Arabidopsis thaliana: one gene and its partners. The protein of the gene in region 1 binds, or shares a complex with, the protein of each later gene. Each region holds a gene or a part of one and is shown on either strand. Other genes may lie near its edges.

Evidence for each region. The genes of interacting proteins can lie anywhere in the genome.
Region 2: SR45 (region 1) and RS41 share a complex: the UniProt entries of both Arabidopsis thaliana proteins name them as parts of the spliceosome.
Region 3: SR45 (region 1) and SR34a share a complex: the UniProt entries of both Arabidopsis thaliana proteins name them as parts of the spliceosome.

Annotation. Positions count from the first base shown.
Region 1 is NC_003070.9:5,675,188-5,681,214, reverse strand, and holds SR45 (arginine/serine-rich 45), read left to right. Parts: upstream 1-2,362; 5' UTR 2,363-2,528; coding exon 2,529-2,728; intron 2,729-2,850; coding exon 2,851-2,922; intron 2,923-3,005; coding exon 3,006-3,088; intron 3,089-3,276; coding exon 3,277-3,323; intron 3,324-3,409; coding exon 3,410-3,490; intron 3,491-3,580; coding exon 3,581-3,749; intron 3,750-3,838; coding exon 3,839-4,061; intron 4,062-4,132; coding exon 4,133-4,198; intron 4,199-4,337; coding exon 4,338-4,487; intron 4,488-4,719; coding exon 4,720-4,786; intron 4,787-4,895; coding exon 4,896-4,933; coding exon of another isoform or gene 4,934-4,937; exon of another isoform or gene 4,938-5,028; coding exon of another isoform or gene 5,029-5,038; exon of another isoform or gene 5,039-5,208; coding exon 5,209-5,290; 3' UTR 5,291-5,367; downstream 5,368-6,027. UniProt on the Arabidopsis thaliana protein: Involved in 5' and 3' splicing site selection of introns, and may bridge the 5' and 3' components of the spliceosome. Isoform 1 is required during flower petal development and isoform 2 is involved in root growth.
Region 2 is NC_003076.8:21,128,713-21,134,583, forward strand, and holds RS41 (RNA-binding (RRM/RBD/RNP motifs) family protein), read left to right. Parts: upstream 1-1,607; 5' UTR 1,608-1,721; intron 1,722-2,332; coding exon of another isoform or gene 2,333-2,368; coding exon 2,369-2,474; coding exon of another isoform or gene 2,475-2,562; exon of another isoform or gene 2,563-2,625; coding exon of another isoform or gene 2,626-2,737; exon of another isoform or gene 2,738-2,781; coding exon of another isoform or gene 2,782-2,988; exon of another isoform or gene 2,989-3,078; coding exon of another isoform or gene 3,079-3,103; exon of another isoform or gene 3,104-3,168; coding exon of another isoform or gene 3,169-3,175; exon of another isoform or gene 3,176-3,374; coding exon 3,375-3,487; intron 3,488-3,567; coding exon 3,568-3,806; intron 3,807-3,897; coding exon 3,898-4,479; intron 4,480-4,572; coding exon 4,573-4,606; 3' UTR 4,607-4,839; downstream 4,840-5,871. Other genes in the region: AT5G52030 (TraB family protein), read left to right, coding at 97-215, 304-392, 469-543, 636-743, 838-939, 1,029-1,322; AT5G52045 (uncharacterized protein), read right to left, coding at 2,333-2,562, 2,626-2,737, 2,782-2,988. UniProt on the Arabidopsis thaliana protein: Required for constitutive and alternative pre-mRNA splicing. Involved in primary miRNA processing and pri-miRNA biogenesis. Binds both intronless and intron-containing pri-miRNAs.
Region 3 is NC_003074.8:18,329,736-18,336,186, forward strand, and holds SR34a (SER/ARG-rich protein 34A), read left to right. Parts: upstream 1-1,773; 5' UTR 1,774-1,977; exon of another isoform or gene 1,978-2,906; 5' UTR 2,907-2,932; coding exon 2,933-3,019; intron 3,020-3,138; coding exon 3,139-3,204; intron 3,205-3,282; coding exon 3,283-3,357; intron 3,358-3,511; coding exon 3,512-3,653; intron 3,654-3,736; coding exon 3,737-3,783; intron 3,784-3,867; coding exon 3,868-3,925; intron 3,926-4,061; coding exon 4,062-4,111; intron 4,112-4,194; coding exon 4,195-4,251; intron 4,252-4,481; coding exon 4,482-4,633; intron 4,634-4,722; coding exon 4,723-4,803; coding exon of another isoform or gene 4,804-4,882; exon of another isoform or gene 4,883-4,914; coding exon 4,915-4,981; intron 4,982-5,073; coding exon 5,074-5,094; 3' UTR 5,095-5,419; downstream 5,420-6,451. Other genes in the region: AT3G49420 (Got1/Sft2-like vescicle transport protein family), read left to right, coding at 120-150, 383-474, 575-655, 776-873, 956-1,037, 1,297-1,335; AT3G49440 (F-box associated ubiquitination effector family protein), read right to left, coding at 5,980-6,451. UniProt on the Arabidopsis thaliana protein: Probably involved in intron recognition and spliceosome assembly.

The DNA.
Region 1 (6,027 bases):
CAGAGCTTAAGAGAACAACCATGTACTTGTTTCTTCCCAGTCTTGAAACGTTCATGCAAGGGTGGTGTTTGTGTCCTCTTGACCTTGGATCTCATCAGTTTCTTCAATAAGAAAAACCGAGCTATTAATCTAAAAGCTGCAGTCCAAAAGCCATATAAGTTTACTATTATAAACGAGTTCAAGATGTGAATATTACCAACTTCTTGAAATCCACGAAACCAGTTTCTAGTACATAGGAGGGCTTGCACATTAGTAGGTAAAAGGCAGCTTCTATATTTGTTAAGCACACGACTACCTATACTAAAAGCTGATTCCGATGCCACGGTAGTGATCGGAATGCTTAAGATATCACATGCCATCGATGACAATTCTTTAAAACGCGAGACATTGTTTTTCCAATATGCAATAACATCCATATCTCTAAAAGAGACCATATCTAACACAGGCTCTTCCAAGTACATATCTAATGGTGATTTTCCAGTTCCATTTCTTTCAGAAAAGTAAGAGTAAAACCCCTGAAATATGACCAACAAAACAAAATTCTCACTAAGTATAAGAATGCATTTTCAGAAGCATTATGCTTTAAAATGCTTTGCATAGTATCATTTGCAGAAGCATTATCTACAGTTAAAGTAAAAACTTTCTTCTCAATTCCCCAATCTTTCAACAGCTCACTAAGCTTCATTGCTATAGCTACTCCAGAATGTGGAGGCGGGAAAGCACAGAAAGATAAGATCTTCGTTTTCAGAACACCATCAACATCTACATAATGAGCTGTTAAGCAAATATAACTTTCAACAGTTAAAGCTCTCCACAAATCTGTTGTTAAGCATATTCTACCCGGGATTATAGCTAACTTTTCCTTAAGCTTAATTTTCTCTCTTTCATAAATCTTGTAGACATCAGAAGCTGCAGTATTTCTGCTCCAAAATTCTATATAAGGGTTAGCATATGTAAAGGCTTCTCTAATTCTTTCATATTCGACAAACGAATATGGAAGATTATGTTGAACTAAAGCCACTGCAATCATTTCTCTAAAGACCATCATATCCACCTTTCTGCTAATTCTAGGTGTACTTCCAGGAGTCTTCTCACAAGATCTCATATGACGATTCATGGTATTAGTACCATTTCGTCTCAGATTCAAGTGATAAGTCTGCTCACAATATTTGCATGTAACCTCAGTTTTCCCATTAGGATATTTCTGTCCTCTATCGAAGTTTTTCCAGCATGCAGCACGAAATCTACTTACACTACTTTTACCTCTCTCAGCTGTCCCTGAAGAAGCAGTTTCATGAGGTAGTATCTGATCCATTTCTGGATCTTCATGGTCCATTTCTTGATCCTCAAGATTAAAGTTGTCTTCATCAACCAAGTTTTGAGTATCCAATTCCATATTTCTGAAACAAATAAAGACATACACACGTTTAGCAGTGATAAACAAATAAAGCATGAACTTGACTAAATCACTAGCCTTCTGGAATAATTAAGCATGAACTTACAACACAAAGGGTCTCTACATATTGATGTGCTTCAATTCATAATGAAATTCGAAATGGCGAAACATAAACAAAATCTGAAAAGTGCCCATTTGCTAGCTAGCTCTCCTCATATCCAAAATTCACAATTGAACTTTGGACAAACCCACAAGCTAGTAGAACTAACCGGAGTAGGAGTTGAGAGAGAGGTCGAGCTTGGTCGTCGCCGAGAGAGAGCTTTGTCGCCGGGAGAGAGAGCGTCGTTGCCGAAAGAGAGAGAAGAGAAAAAAATTTATGTGTTGAAAAAATTGATGGGCCAACCATAAACCGTGTGGGCTAGCCCATTAAACCCATGGACAAAATTGGTCTTTAGACCATATAGCCCGTTTTCATTACGGGCCGACCATGGACTGTCCATAATGTTGTGGACTGGGCTTAGCCCATGGTCAGATGACCATTTGACACTTCTATATAGATGTATGAATAAACCTTAATGGTTTCGGTGTTATTCAATGACTAGATTCAATCTAAGATACTTTGATTTTGAGATTGCTCTTAAGTTTGTACCAAGGCAACAACAATATCAACAAATTATGGGACAACAAGAGAGCTATAGAAAAATGGTATCTAATTGATCCTAATTGGATGGTGTACACGACCACAGACAATCGATTACAACATTTTATAAGTTGTTGAATTTTTTATGGGAGTTACTAGCTTTTCTGTTTGAATTTTCCTGTAGGATTTGAAGAACTTTTGATTAGTGACACATTCAAATCTGATATGAAAAATGGGAAAGGACACAAATTGAGCTCATTATGGTATTTATACTTTATAAAATGCTTTAAAAAACATATAAATCCCTCAATTTATCAAGCAAATAAAAACCTGCCACGTATCATCTTCGGTTTAATTTGCAGTCCGCGGAAAAAAAAAGGAGACTGGAAAAAAAAAGTCACAGTCTGTCTGTCTGTCTCTCTCCTCTAATCTTTTTTATCCGCTAGGGTTTTGAAGCAAGGTTTCTCGCGATTTTCTCGATATCTCTCGCCCATGGCGAAACCAAGTCGTGGCCGTCGTTCCCCCTCCGTGTCTGGCTCGTCATCTCGTTCCAGTTCCAGATCTCGTTCGGGTTCGAGCCCCTCCAGGTCTATTTCCCGCTCACGCTCCCGTTCTAGATCGCTCTCTTCATCTTCATCTCCTTCGCGAAGCGTCAGTTCTGGGAGTCGCAGTCCTCCACGTCGTGGAAAAAGGTTAGGGTTTCTTTCAATCACTTACCAATTGTTCGAATTGGATTTGTGTAATTTCGCTTTCATTCTTCTTGGTTCGTTCAGCTCGAATTCGAATTGATGTTCTGATGTATCTTCTTGTGTAGTCCTGCTGGACCTGCTAGGCGAGGTCGCTCTCCTCCTCCTCCACCATCTAAAGGAGCATCTTCACCTTCCAAGTAATATCTGACTCGTTCACATAAATATATTCTAGTGTTTATGCTTTCGTCATTACTGACTTTACAATCTTTTATGCTTTCAGGAAAGCTGTTCAAGAATCTCTTGTTCTCCATGTTGATTCTCTTAGCAGGAATGTGAATGAAGCCCATCTCAAAGAAATCTTTGGTATGTTGATTTCTCTTTTCTCTGTTTCTTCTGCTTCTTCTAATCTTACTACATGATAACTGTCTACACATGTCCGCTAATGTCATCAGTAGTGTATACGGCATTACGATCATCACTGGTCTTTTGTTTTCCTTGTGTTGGCTAAATGTTAAGTCTTATAACATGGCTTGGTTTCATGTTATTATTAGGCAACTTTGGTGAAGTTATACATGTCGAAATTGCGATGGATCGAGCTGTAAGTTGCTATTCTCTTTACTCTCTGTTGTTTACTTGCATCACTTGTTGAAATCTGCTCATAATTCCTTTGAATATTATTAACAGGTTAATCTTCCAAGAGGACATGGTTATGTTGAGTTCAAGGCAAGAGCTGATGCTGAGAAAGCTCAGCTCTACATGGATGGTGTATGTCTCTTTCCAATTATGAAATGCACTGTACTTGACATATTGACAGAGAAGATTTATGCATGTTTTTTTTTTGTTCACTGAACACAGGCCCAAATTGATGGAAAGGTTGTTAAAGCAACGTTCACACTACCACCTCGTCAGAAAGTATCTTCACCCCCTAAACCTGTCTCAGCTGCACCAAAAAGAGATGCTCCAAAATCTGATAATGCTGCTGCTGACGCTGAGAAAGATGGTGGTCCCAGGCGCCCAAGAGAGAGTATGTCAAATCCTTATATTTTGGTTATTTATAATTGTTGTAGTATATGCTTTATGTTGTGTTAATTAGTATCATCAATATGTGCTTAGCATCTCCTCAACGGAAAACAGGGCTTTCTCCGAGAAGGCGATCACCTCTACCTAGGAGAGGCTTATCACCTAGAAGGCGATCACCTGATTCTCCCCATCGCCGGAGGCCGGGCTCTCCTATCCGCCGTCGCGGTGATACACCTCCTAGACGTAGGCCAGCATCACCATCTAGAGGCCGTTCTCCATCTTCTCCCCCTCCAAGACGATATAGATCTCCTCCAAGGTTAGTTATGGCACCATCTGTTTTGTCTGGTGTGTTTCAGATTCGATAGCTCACCTTTTATCTGTCAGCAGGGGCTCCCCTAGAAGAATTCGTGGCAGTCCTGTTCGAAGAAGGTCTCCTCTTCCTCTAAGACGAAGGTATGTCTATTTGGTACCTGAATTACACCCTTAGTAATCGAAGTTTAGGAATCACAGCTTTATAGACTATATTACTCAGTAAATTAGACCGGGAAAAATGTGTCAGTTTTATATATGTTTTGTATTCGGCGTGTTTCAGGTCTCCACCTCCAAGGAGACTACGCAGTCCTCCCAGAAGATCTCCAATCCGTAGGCGTAGCCGATCCCCAATTCGTAGGCCTGGTCGCTCTCGTTCAAGTTCCATCTCACCCCGCAAGTATGTTGGAACTCATTTAAACTTTTTTCTGGGGTCTCTCTCGTGGGTTTTATTTTGTTACAGATGCATAGCTAAGACTGATTCATAACAAGTTTTTAAGTCTTTCATAATTCATGAGTATACCCCAAGATCCTACATTGTCTTATCCTTTTACCTAGGTTTCTGACATACCAGCTCCTAGAGACGTTGATACCCAATATGACTAAGTTATATAGATCCGTCTGGGGTTTGTTCATGAATTAATTTTGTCTTTAACTGTAAGCAGGGGACGAGGTCCAGCTGGGAGACGTGGGAGGTCATCTTCTTACTCTAGTTCACCAAGTCCCAGAAGGGTAAGGGCTTCTTGCAGATCCCTTTTTAGCTATAAAATTTTTGATGCCTTGCGAGTTATATGTCTTGACTCTTGACTTTCTATCATTTGTGCATTATTAAACCTTACAGATTCCTAGGAAGATTTCAAGGAGCCGCAGTCCTAAGAGGTAAACACTTTCTGTCTTAACACTAATCCTCGTCTTAAACTGGAAACACTTTATAGTCTGTAGAATGCATTAATTGAAGAAGTTCCAATGTTAAGTTATGTATAGTAAAGTTAAGGGTTACCCCAATTCCTGATAAAAGACATAGCATAAACATCTGGGACCTATACTTTCTTGGTGAGTTTGGTGATGAAACAGAGAAAAATAGAATTGTTGTGTAGAAATTTTTTGCGTTGAAGTCTAATAAAAGAAAATGGGTTGTTGTTGGGTATGTTTAGGCCACTGAGAGGAAAAAGAAGCAGCAGTAACAGCAGCAGCAGCAGTTCACCGCCACCACCACCTCCACCTCGTAAAACTTAAAGGTGATAAAAATTAAAAAAAAAAAAAAAAAAACTTGAGTCTTGATGTAGCTCTCTTTCTCCATCTTTATCGTTATCATCTGTCTCAGCCTCTTTTCTTAGAACAGATAAAATGTTTACCAGTGACCAAATGAGAGTTGTGGTTTTTGTAGTGTTTGGATGTTTAATCTTCTTTTGTGGATCTCCTCATTAGATGCAACGATAATGACTTGGTTCTTTTAGCTGGTTGTAATTCCCTAATATATTCAGTCTTGTTGAAGAATGGCTGGCTCCTTCACCCTTTTCTTATTATTTTAGTTAAAAGAGAAAGAAATCCATACAAAGACTGGTGATCCAAATACACAAGAAATTGGTTTTTTGTTTCATTCAGAGAAATAAATAATTATAATTTAAGGGCTCCTAAGATGCACAACAACAATTTTGCATCAAACCATGCATCTTAATGAGAGTGCACAAACTTTTATTTAAAACGAAAAATAGAGTTTTCCTCAACTTCACACAGTACATACCACTCAAAGAAAATAAATATACATACCACTCTGCAAGTGCCCATATGGGGAAGATGTTTCTGTAGGTAACATAGTTTAGAAAACAGTTCTTCATGAACACTCCTGTCATTTCCTGCACAACAGAGCAACAACTCTGTTTTTATAATCTAATAAATACACACACCATTCTCTGATCCTGTATGTATTGAATCTTTGGAAGAGAGTGTTGAGGATAATCTCCGTTTTCTAA
Region 2 (5,871 bases), on another chromosome or scaffold:
GTTTCGTGAAATTTGATGACTTTATTGCCAACTGATGAAATTGAATTAGCCATTGTGTTGTGTAACAAATTGCAGAGCTTGGTGTTGATGTTGCAGAGCTGGGATTATGTACACTTCAAGTGTTGGAGGAGAGGTTGACCAAAACTTAAAATCCGGAGAGTTGTCGTTGACCGGGACTGGCTTTCTCGGTGCTGTTGGCCGGAGTTTAGACTTGGGTATATAAACTAATCAAAGCTTTTTATTTACCATTGCTCGCTTTTGTACTTCAACGTTGATGAATGTGTGTGTTTGGGATGATCATAGGAGGGCAAACTGCGTTGGCATTGCGACTTCTATTGGCGGTTTTCTCTTCTAAGTTATCTTCTGTTGCTGACCGCCCTTTCGGGGATGAGGTACTTTTGAGAAAACCTCAAGAGTTAGTGTTTGTTTTTGGACATTCAGTCTCTTCTTGATTGCTATTTGTTGCAGTTTCGTGCTGCTCGGAAAGCATCTGAGGAAGTTGGTGCGCAGCTGGTTCTTGGAGATCGACCCATCGAAATAACTGTAATGACTATACCAAGTACCAACTGATCGTTTTTGTAGTTACATATGGGTTTAAAACCAATGGAATCTACATTGAACTTATAACATTGTAGCTCCAAAGGGCTTGGAACTCTTTGAAATGGGGAGAGAAGTTTAATCTGGTGATGGCTGTGACTCGGGTAATCACATCGTCATCGGGTATATCCGCAGCGGAGCTTAAGGTTTTGTTTCTCTTTCGCTAACTCGGTTTCGCTTTAATTCAAGAAGATGATAAGATAAGTTGTAACTTTTCGGTTTGTGTTTGCATTGCAACAGGAACAAGAGACCGATGAAAACAGTGGAAGTTTGCAGCTTTACGAACGGCTAAGTTTCTCATACCCGGCACTCCTAATGCCTCTTATACACGAAAGAGATACCGTAAGCATAAAAACCGAAACAAAGCGACACTCAAAAAAACCGTATGCTGATAAGACTTGACCAAATAATGTGTTTTTTTGCCTTGACAGTATCTTGCTTGGTCATTGAAGAGAAGTAAGGCAGTGAATGGGTGTAAAACAGTGGTGGGAGTGATCGGGAAAGGACACATGAATGGTGTCATCTACGCGTTGGTGTCAGACTCTGGGGATCTCCGGTTTAGAGATTTGGTGGGAAGAGGAGATTCATATAATGGTGGTACTGGTACTACATCGAACGGTTGGATTCAAAAGGTTTTAAAGAGCTTCGTAAGAGACACAATTATAGGGTTCTTGCTATGGGAGTTATATGAACAGTATCTGATGATGAATCAAAACCTTTCATGATATAACTAAAAAAACAAGTTGTTGCATATTTAAAAAGGAAACTGGAAAAAGAATCTAAATGAGTACAATATGTATGTATATGATTCTTCTTCCTCTAGATTTTGTTGAGGCAACTACAAAGTCTTATATGAAATTGATGTATATTTTGCAGAAATTTCAATTGTAAACATAAAATGTTTAGGTAAAAAATTATTTGTACTTCTCTAGTTGGTAACGAAATAAAAATAAAATATTTTTTTTTTTAATATATATATATATATATATATAAATATAAATATATGTTTAAGATTCATTATCTGGAGAGAGAGCCTCGAAGAAAGCAAATAAAATCTAGAGAAGCTTGTTTCTAGGGTTTCGACTCTCGACGGCCGGTACGATTTTTCAACTGCTTGTTCTAAGGTATAATCAAAATCGAGTTCTTCAGATATTGAATTCGATTCTCTCTTTGGTCTCTCTCTTCTCTTGTTCTTCAGATTTAAATTCGATAGCTTTTTCATTTTCTTCCGTTGAATTTTTCTTGTTTCATTAGGTCTGTTGAAATTGTAGTTTCTTCTTGCTTTGTTTTCTCATATGGTTGATTTTTTTTTTCCAGATCTGAGGTTTTTTTCATCATAGCTTGAAAAAATCCATACTTTCTGGGCTTCCTTTGTATAAATATGAAAACTTTAATGAAAATCTGTTGTGGTATGTTATGGGTTGTGACTTGTGATGAATTGAATTTTGAATATAGTTGTAAATTTGAAATCTTGAAGTATGAAATTTGCATTGGTTTGTTAATTTGTGATGAATTGGATTTTGATTATTACAGTTATAAAGTTGAAAACTTGGAAGTGTAGATGATTACATTTTTCTGTGGTTTGGTTCCTGTTATGTTCATTGTTCTATGATCTTAATTATATGTTTTGTTATTGCTTCTCTTCTGGAGTGTGTTTATTTGTATATTTTGGTCAAATCTGTGCTCTGTTTAGTATCTCTTGGATATCTTTTGATACTTAGGTTGTTGAGAGGAGCTATAAATCGTTTCTGTTGTCTATTTTGTAGGAATCATGAAGCCTGTCTTTTGCGGAAACTTTGAGTATGATGCTCGTGAGAGTGATCTTGAGCGGCTTTTCAGAAAGTACGGCAAGGTTGAGAGGGTTGATATGAAAGCTGGTAAGTCTTGGTTCTTGTTTTTCTTTATACTTTCTCTTAGTTTTTCTGTTTGGTTGAATTGAAATGGATAAAGAAGTCTCGTAAACCACTACCAATCCGATGAACAACAAGCGAAATTCAGTCAAATGCATTGTTCTTAAAATCCACTTACGTGCGTTCATTCCATGAGACTCTCTGGAGGACTGTCCTTTCAAAGTGTGCTCTCTAGCCTCTGCATCCCACATTCCGTATTCCCTCGGTTCGCTACCATCTGATTCCAACATCTGCCAAGGAACTTGAAGCACCCCGCATGAAGTTCATAGCATACCTCAGAAGAGAAAAGATCGAGTAATTTTAGGGTAAAACCGCCATACTCAACATTTGATTTTGGCGCAGGATTTGTTTCGATCTTGGGATGCCCATTCTCCCACACAGCCCATTGATGGACAATATGGAAAATCCATTTCCTGCCCAAAAGAGTCAACCTCATCCACGCAATGGCACTACGTTCCCATAACCCCGACTTTAGTTGCATTTCATTCCTCTTGACTTTTCTCCTCTTCGAGATGCACATGCCTCTTTGGTAGACTTATACCAACCTCTCACAGCAGAGGCAGCAAATCAAATGGAGTTTGCGCCACCACGTTTCTGTTCACAATTCCGTCTCATCTCCTCCTCATTTTCAGTTCTTCTTCTTTGACATATTAATTCCATAATGCAAGGTCTGTAAAACTACTTATAGTTTGTAGAGATTTTAGGTTCAAAACTTATTTGTCACAGTAAGTAGTAAAGGCTGTTTTGATACTGCCGTGGAAGGGAGAGTCTTCATATTAGAATTCCTCTTGGAGGAGGTTCTTTTTCTTGGTTTACTTGATAAGATTGTTCTCATGTTCTGACTTTCCCTTTTGGTTCTCTCCCCAGGGTTTGCTTTTGTCTATATGGAAGATGAAAGGGATGCTGAAGATGCAATTCGAGCGCTTGATCGCTTTGAATATGGTCGCACAGGACGCAGACTCCGTGTTGAGTGGACAAAGGTAGAATCTTGAATATCATTTTAAAAGTTATTATCAGGACGGATTTAGTGATGGAATGCAAATTCTAATACTGGGTATAGAATGACCGTGGAGGTGCTGGAAGATCAGGTGGTTCGAGGAGATCATCTTCTGGCTTGAGACCTTCCAAGACTCTGTTTGTGATCAACTTCGATGCACAAAACACTAGGACTCGGGACTTGGAGAGGCACTTTGAGCCGTATGGTAAAATTGTTAATGTTAGAATCAGAAGGAATTTTGCATTCATCCAATATGAGGCACAAGAAGATGCTACCAGAGCACTGGATGCTACAAATTCCAGGTTTCTTTCTGTCCATCTTTACACTCTCATTTGTCCCAAATGTTTTCCTTCAGCTCCCATTGACCTTTTTTTGTTGTTGTTGTTGTTACAGTAAGCTGATGGATAAGGTGATCTCAGTGGAGTATGCAGTGAAAGATGATGATTCAAGAGGAAATGGATACAGTCCTGAAAGACGGCGTGATAGGTCACCTGATAGGAGAAGGCGATCACCAAGTCCTTACAGAAGAGAAAGGGGAAGTCCTGACTATGGCCGAGGTGCTAGTCCAGTAGCTCACAAAAGGGAAAGGACTAGTCCTGATTATGGTCGTGGAAGACGCAGCCCCAGCCCTTACAAGAGAGCCAGGCTTAGCCCAGATTACAAGAGGGATGACCGTAGGAGGGAGAGAGTGGCTAGCCCAGAGAATGGAGCTGTAAGGAACCGAAGCCCAAGAAAAGGACGTGGTGAAAGCAGGAGTCCTCCTCCATATGAGAAGAGGAGGGAAAGCAGGAGTCCTCCGCCATATGAGAAGAGAAGGGAAAGCAGGAGTCCTCCTCCATATGAGAAGAGGAGGGAGAGGTCAAGGTCAAGGTCGAAGTCAAGCCCTGAGAATGGTCAAGTTGAGAGCCCTGGGCAAATAATGGAAGTAGAAGCTGGAAGAGGATACGATGGAGCAGACAGCCCGATACGCGAGAGGTACCACATCCCAAGCTATCTTTAGATCACATTTGAATGGTATCAATATCATCATCTTACTTCCAGTTTTTTTTTGTGGTTTTGAAACTGAAGCAGCCCCTCTCGTTCGCCGCCAGCAGAGGAATGATTGGAGATGCAGACAGATGATTGTGTTGGATTCACAAACAAAAGATGTCTCTCAAAGTAGTTGTATCCGAAACTGAAGTCTTTTGCTATGTCATGTAGTATTTAGTGTGTTATTTTGGGTCTTTGTTAAGTGTTTTGTAAACTTTATTATGACTCCATTCGAAATCGCTTGTCGTAGTATTGGTTAAAAGATTGCTTTTTAGTTTGGATTACAATATCCGACTTTAGATGTTTACGAGCGCAGCTTATGTTTTAACATGAAAATAGTGCTAAAGATGGTCGACAAGATCAGAAGTTTTATGTTAGCCATGAAATCCTTTATAATGTAGGTCTGAATTGTGTCAACTTGTCAACCCTAAATTTTCCATTTCAATTACATTCGCCTTTTTGCGCTTCCACTTTTTTTCAACTTCGTAATATTGTATAGAACTTTTTTGTCTATAAAATTCTTTTGCAAAGTGTAAAATACTAAACACAAAAGTAGCACTTTTCTTTTGTTTGCATTTGGGTTTTCATTTTTCTGTTTTTTTTTTTCTGTTAATGGTTCCGAATAGTAACACTCATAATGGTGGAATAACATTTTCTAATGAGATTATGCAAGAATCTTACTAACCAAAAAAAATTGCATAATATTTACTAAAATGTAAAAACGTATGATTTGCGTTTTCGCCTAAAAAATTCATATAAAAATTCATTATGCAAATAAATAAGTATATAGTTGTTTATTTCATTATGAGATTTTTCATTCTGCAAGTATTTTCATTATGCGATTTATGTCATTAGATATTTATGCAGTGTCACCATTCAGAGATGTTGTGGAGCCGTAATGTTTTGTTGCCTAGAGCAAAACAAAAAAATTAAGCCCATTAACAAACACATCTATAAAATAAAAACTCATATTATTGTCATTGAAGGATTTGAGCTAACCTAGAAGCTTATTATGTATACGCTTTCTCTCTTCCTCAACAACTATACTATTGACGTTTTCACTTAAAATGATGCTCCAAAAGTTTTATACGTTGGATGCCTAAAACACCAGTTTCACGTGCTTTAATTCAAGGTTAAACGAACGGACAAAACCATAGTAAGTAACATCAAATTCATGGCAATTGTCAGTGGTTAGATAATGCACCTAGCTAGGAACCAATATGGTAGTAATACTTTTTGAAAAAAAAATGTATTATCTTAGTACTATTTTATGTGATGGGTAACAAAAAATGAGGAAGTTAGGCAGAAACATTACTATAAAGGATAGGTGTAGTAAAA
Region 3 (6,451 bases), on another chromosome or scaffold:
CCATGGGCACATTTTGTAAACACTAATGTTGTAGTTTCAACTTTCAATGGTCTAATTGCTGAACTTCGACATGTTTTTACCATGGCAGCAAAAGGTAGAAGTAGCTGATTACAGGAACAATGATGTCCTTTGAAATGAATGACCGGAAAAGTAAGTTCACATTGTGAGTTCTATAAATATTTTCTGCTATTGGAAGACATACCTGTTACTTAGTTATACTTAATTCTTCTTTTGCTTATCACGTTCTTGAGTTAGTAGATCATTCAATGTCATGTTGTTGTTCGGAACCCCATTTAGTTTCAGTATATCTTATTACCAGGTTACGAAGTTACTCATGCTGTACTTGGATATACTTAAACGTTTCTTATGTGATTTGAAACAGAAATCGGGTTAGGCCTGACAGGATTTGGCGTATTCTTCTCGTTTTTGGGAATAGTCTTCGTCTTTGATAAGGGATTACTTGCCATGGGAAATGTAAGTATCTCATGTATCTTTGTTTCTATACTTTGACCACTATTATTGCATACACGTACAGAACTAGTATGAGAGCTTGTTTCTTTTCATATTTTCTCAGATTCTTTTCATCTCGGGGGTTAGTCTAACCATTGGCTTCAAGTCTACCATGCAGTTCTTCATGAAGCGTCAAAATTATAAGGTTTGTTTCTGTCTTTGTCTACATTATCAATAGCTTGGGCCAGTCTCTGCTGGATTTTTACAGATTTCTACTTAATGTCATCTATGTGTGTTCATTTGGCTTTATATGTTATCCACTCAGGGAACCATCTCTTTTGGCGTCGGTTTCTTCTTTGTTATCATCGGGTGGCCTATCTTGGGAATGATGTTGGAGACCTATGGCTTTTTCGTACTCTTCAGGTACTTTTGCCTATTTTCTTCTTCTTTACTGGTATTGCTTGAGGAAATGTAAACTGATACTAAAAACGTTTTGCTTTTGCAGTGGCTTCTGGCCTACCTTGGCAGTCTTTGCTCAGAAGATACCCGTTCTGGGTTGGATTATTCAGCAACCATATATTAGATCGGTATGTGTCCAATTGCAAACAACTATAGCAAACTTTGCATGAAATTCTTAGATCTCGAATACAACACATACAAAACTCATAATGACTCCCAGTTTTGCCTTTCCAAATTACAGTTGATAATTCTCTCTTTGTTTCTGATGATCTTGAGTTGCTAGGCCTTTTCTCAGTTTGGCTTAACTTTAATAGTAATTCTGTTGCATAGTCTGCCAATTGTTGGCTAATGCGATTACTTTACACTTTTTTTTTATGTGATGTGTAGTTCTTTGACAAGTACCGGGGCAAGCGAGTGCCGGTCTAGTCTTCCATCCCGAGCAGAGAGACGATTCACTGAGCTAGATGCAGCTGAACAGGCGATTAAAGTTTTTGGAAGAAGAAGTTTCGTGATCCTGTAGAAAACTAAAACCATAGGAGAAAGAAAATAGGAAGGAAAAGAACGTACAATTTGAAGCTGTGTGTCTATGTTTCAGGTGAAGTAGATGAATCTTCGTCCAGGTTGCAAATTGCAACAGAATGTTAAAAATGTAATGTTTTATTTTTGGGTTAGTTATAGGTTACACCTCAATTTTGGAAACTAATTAAAGAGAAACAATTGTTTCTATTCACAAAAACTTTTTGTAACCATTACGCATTACATAATTTTAATCATATTGTTATTAACTTAATGGTTCTATTTGACCAAAAACAAAAACTTAGAGGTTATTTGACAAACAGATTACTTAAAGAGGGACCGAAAAATAAAAACACAAAAGAACTGAGTGAATCAACTAAAGGGTAATTCCGGTATTTCAGGAAAGTTTTAAGGACGACCCCTACTAATGGATAAAGTAGAAACCCTAGTTTGAATTTTCACGGCCGACCTCTCTCTCTCATCTACTAAGCTCTCCTCCGAGTATTGTTGGCTTCAGACCAAATCTTCTCCGGCGCTGTAGCGTTTCCCCCGGTACGGATTCATTCACCTCTCTCTCTCTATCGCTCTCCCTCTCTCTATCTCTATCTATCTGTTGTTTTCTCTGAATTTGGTTTCCGTGTTCTTATGAATTCGATGGTTTGGTGTTTCAATTTCGTTAATTTCACTGATAATTGTTGGTCTTTTGGCTCTCTTGAGGTGAATATACTTCGCTATGGTCGTGGGGGTAGTTTCCTTGACTTCAATTAGCTTTTTTATGTCGAATGTTCTTGAGTTGTTTAAGGTGATTTTTGATTAAATTCAGAAGGTCTTATGTTTGTTAGAATCTGTCTTTTATTCATTGTCCTTACTGAGGAAATTTTTTTACTTGCATTGAAAAGAAACATAATTTACCAAGAGGTTCTATGTAACGATGATTTGTGGGTCGATCTGTATTTTAAATAGTCGTTAAAAGTAGAATTTTTGTTGTATGTTTGAAAGGAATAATGGTTTGAGTAAGGAAGAAGAACAAGGTAGATGCATGAGTCTATGTTACATGATGTCATGACACATGCTTTCTTTATGATAGATGGCAAGAGCTTGGAACATGAGCATTGCAATGGTTCATAGGGATATAGAGAGGGATTGGGGAGATCAATGTGGATATTGTTTTTATTATTAATGGAGATTCATGGGAACGATCTGGAGAAATATATATATTTCAATATTTTAAATAGCTTTTGGAGCATATTGGAGCAAATAAGCATTTGGAGCTTGTGGAGCACTGCTCTGACCCAGGATTGCTCTCACTTGGTTTGCTTCATATATATTTTGGTCTTACCATGTTTTCTTTTTCTTTTCTTATCATCGTCTCATTTTGATGCTGGGGCTATGTCGAAAGCTGTTTGAGTGGAGGTTCTTTGTCTATAGCAGTAAATTTTGATCCTTTATTTATTTCGTTTCCTTTTTATTCTCATGTGCAGTTTCCCCTTTTTAACCTTTGCAAACAATGAGTGGGCGATTTTCTCGGTCAATCTATGTTGGTAACTTGCCCGGTGACATTAGGGAACATGAGATTGAAGATATCTTTTACAAGGTCAGTTTTTGGTTATTTGTTTGATTCAGTTACGGGTCCTCTCTTGAATCGTTATCCCTATAAGACAGTGAAGATTCTTGAGCATCTTTTGTATTCATATTTAATGCTCTTGTTTGCAGTATGGCCGCATTGTCGATATTGAATTGAAGGTTCCACCTCGGCCTCCATGTTATTGCTTTGTTGAGGTAAGTGTATTCGCTTACATTACATGTTCCTAACCAACTTTAAATTTCGCTGAACCAAGCTCTGTTGAATGTTTGTAGTTTGAGCATTCTCGGGATGCTGAAGATGCCATCAAGGGCCGTGATGGCTATAATTTGGATGGCTGTCGCTTGAGGGTAATCAGTTACTTCCTTGCTATTTTTTCAGCAGACAATATGGGCTTATGCTTCACATATCCTTACAGCAGAGTCTAAACTTTTCTGGCTGTTTTACATTACCTTGTGATGTTTCTTTTTATTTTTCAATAGTTTCTAATCATTATGAATGCAGGTTGAGCTTGCACATGGTGGTCGAGGACAGTCTTCAAGTGATCGTCGTGGTGGCTACGGTGGTGGTGGCAGCGGCTATGGTGGTGGAGGTGGTGGTGGTGGATCAGCTCGGTTTGGCGTCTCACGACACTCTGAATTCCGAGGTTTGTGTTTCTTGCTAGAAGTTGGTATTATTAAAATTTGGTTTCACTTCACTTCTTCTGATTCTTGGATGGCTATTTTGCAGTTATTGTACGTGGGCTCCCATCATCTGCTTCATGGCAAGATTTGAAGGTCTGATGACACTTAATGTTTTGCTGCAACATTTTGGTTTCTACTCCCTAGTCTTGTTTTTCATATAAAATCCATTTTTTTCAGGATCATATGCGGAAAGCTGGTGATGTGTGCTTTGCTGAGGTGACTCGAGACAGTGATGGTACGTTAATTTACAGTTTCTGATGCATACTTACTTAGCAATATATTTACTTTTTCAGCTTTGAGCAGAGTTTTGTTTGGGATATTATACTTACGTTTTTCTCCCACAACATGACTATTTATAATAATATGATCAGGAACTTATGGTGTTGTCGACTACACCAATTATGATGACATGAAGTATGCAGTAAGTGAACTCTGTGCGTCTCTCTTACTGTATTGCATGCTATGGTTTGTATAATTACTGATGTTCAATAGTTGTGATTTCAGATAAGGAAACTTGATGACACAGAGTTCAGAAACCCCTGGGCTAGAGGTTTTATCCGGGTACCATTTCTCTATGCAGTCTCTTCTTTTTTCCCTCTTTGACCATAATTAACAGATATTAGTTATCTCTCAAGTCTCTCAACATTTTACTTCGTTTGATGCTTCATTCTCTATCTTCCCATTCGTAAAACATCTATGACTTTTGTAGTCTCAATTGGTTAGGCTAATTTAAAATCATGATCTCACAAGTTTGTATTCATCTTATGTCTGTGTTTTCTGCTCATATGCAGGTTAAGAAATATGAAAGCTCCCGATCAAGAAGCAGAAGCCCAAGCAGAAGCAGAAGCAGAAGCAGAAGTCGAAGTCGTAGCCGAGGCCGTGGTCGCAGCCATAGCCGCAGTCGCAGCCTTAGCAGGAGCAAGAGCCCAAGGAAGGATCTGAGGTACTACGTTTGTTATCACTGAACCTTTGTATATCTCCCATTTTCAATACCTAAAAATGGAGTTGTGTGTTTACCAATCTTTATTGCAGTAAATCACCAAGGCGATCCCTTTCCAGATCGATTTCAAAATCTAGATCGCCATCGCCCGACAAGAAGAAGAGTCCCCCCAGGCAAGTCTTCTGCCCTTCTTTTGTGTTCTTTCTCTCAACCATCATGATACTTTTATTCGTTCTTTTATTTCTCCTGTGATTATTGTGACATGTTGCTTTTTACCAATTCAGGGCAATGTCGAGATCAAAGTCCAGGTCCAGGTCCAGATCGAGGTCTCCGTCCAAATCTCCTCCCAAGGTATAGAACTAAGCTGCCTGCGTTTTAGCATCATTTTACCAAGTTATAGGCAAAACACCAAACAGACCAATCTAAAAAAATCTTTTTCTCAGGTTCGCGAAGGCAGTGTGTGATTTTGTTAAGCGGTGAAAATGGCCAAAAGAAAGAGTGCGAAAAATTCTCAAGTCAAGATCCATTCTCTGTGTTTTTTTTTTTGCTGTTTTCGGATAATTGACATTTTCTGCTGTTCTCTGCTTCTTTACTCACAAATGATCATCTTTATACTATTATGACCTGTTATGTTATGGATGTTTCCGTGACCATCACAATACCTCTGAGTTTTGTATTGTTAGTCCTGTTCTTGTTTAAACCCTATGAAGTCTTAGCGAACCTGGATCTCTCATCTAAATTATCAAATATTTAACTGATTTGTATGAAATGGGCATAATATTAAAGAAATCAAATTAAAGTTAAGATATTTGACATGGTTTATAGACGGTCAAATGAGTTGTTTACCTAACAAGGTTCTTCCACAAAGTCGACAAAATTTATATATTTGACATGATCTGTTTGTCGGCATCTTTTAGTATTCCATCACAAACAAAAGTTGAGAATTAGGATGAAGTGCGCATTTCCTTGCATAAGTAGGGATACAACTTCAACATCTTAGGTATAATGTTAAAACATTTTTGTACAAACTTTTAGCTAATATGTATCTTTACAAGAAATATCAGAAGAGAAAATATATCTATCTTAATACGTATTTTTGGATAAATAGTGGCCATATATATAAGGTCCCCAACTTAGAAACGAAACAAGATGTTATAAATTCTTATGTAGCCCGGACCGGCTAAGAGAAAAGTGGGATCATGTACCCATTTAAAAAAAAAGTTTATCTCTTATACTATATGTATAGATTTGGGCCTTTTGTATAATTTTTGAAAAATAGGGCTATAATTGCTTAAAGAAATCTGACTAAAAAATAGGACCCTATTCAAAAGCACCCTTTGCACACCCTCTCAGCCGGCCTTGGTAGCCATAATCGCTTCCATAAGCCTCACATCTTCTATATGGTCAGTAAATGTAAAAATATTCCGACCCTTAAAAGCTTCCATCCCTTGGATTTTGATTCTTGTAATAGTCTTCCTCTTCATATTGTAACAAAAAGTGTAGAAAGGATCATATAACTCGAGTGAGGTCAACACAATCTCACCGTTACGAGTCATCCTGACAATCACTAACCAGTAATTTTCAACTAAACTCTCCCACAAAGGCGGTATGTAATGTCTCCACCATTTATGTTCCTCAACATCATCTAAAACCCAAAACTCAATGCATGTAGTCGCTCTAGAAAACATACCATCTAAATCGGTGATAAGCGCACCTAATTTTACCTTGTAATCTATCAGAGTCCGAAGCAAGAACTGGATCTGGACAGCTTCATAATTATTAATAGTAGTAAACTTGAACTTCTCAGACCTAATGTCAAAG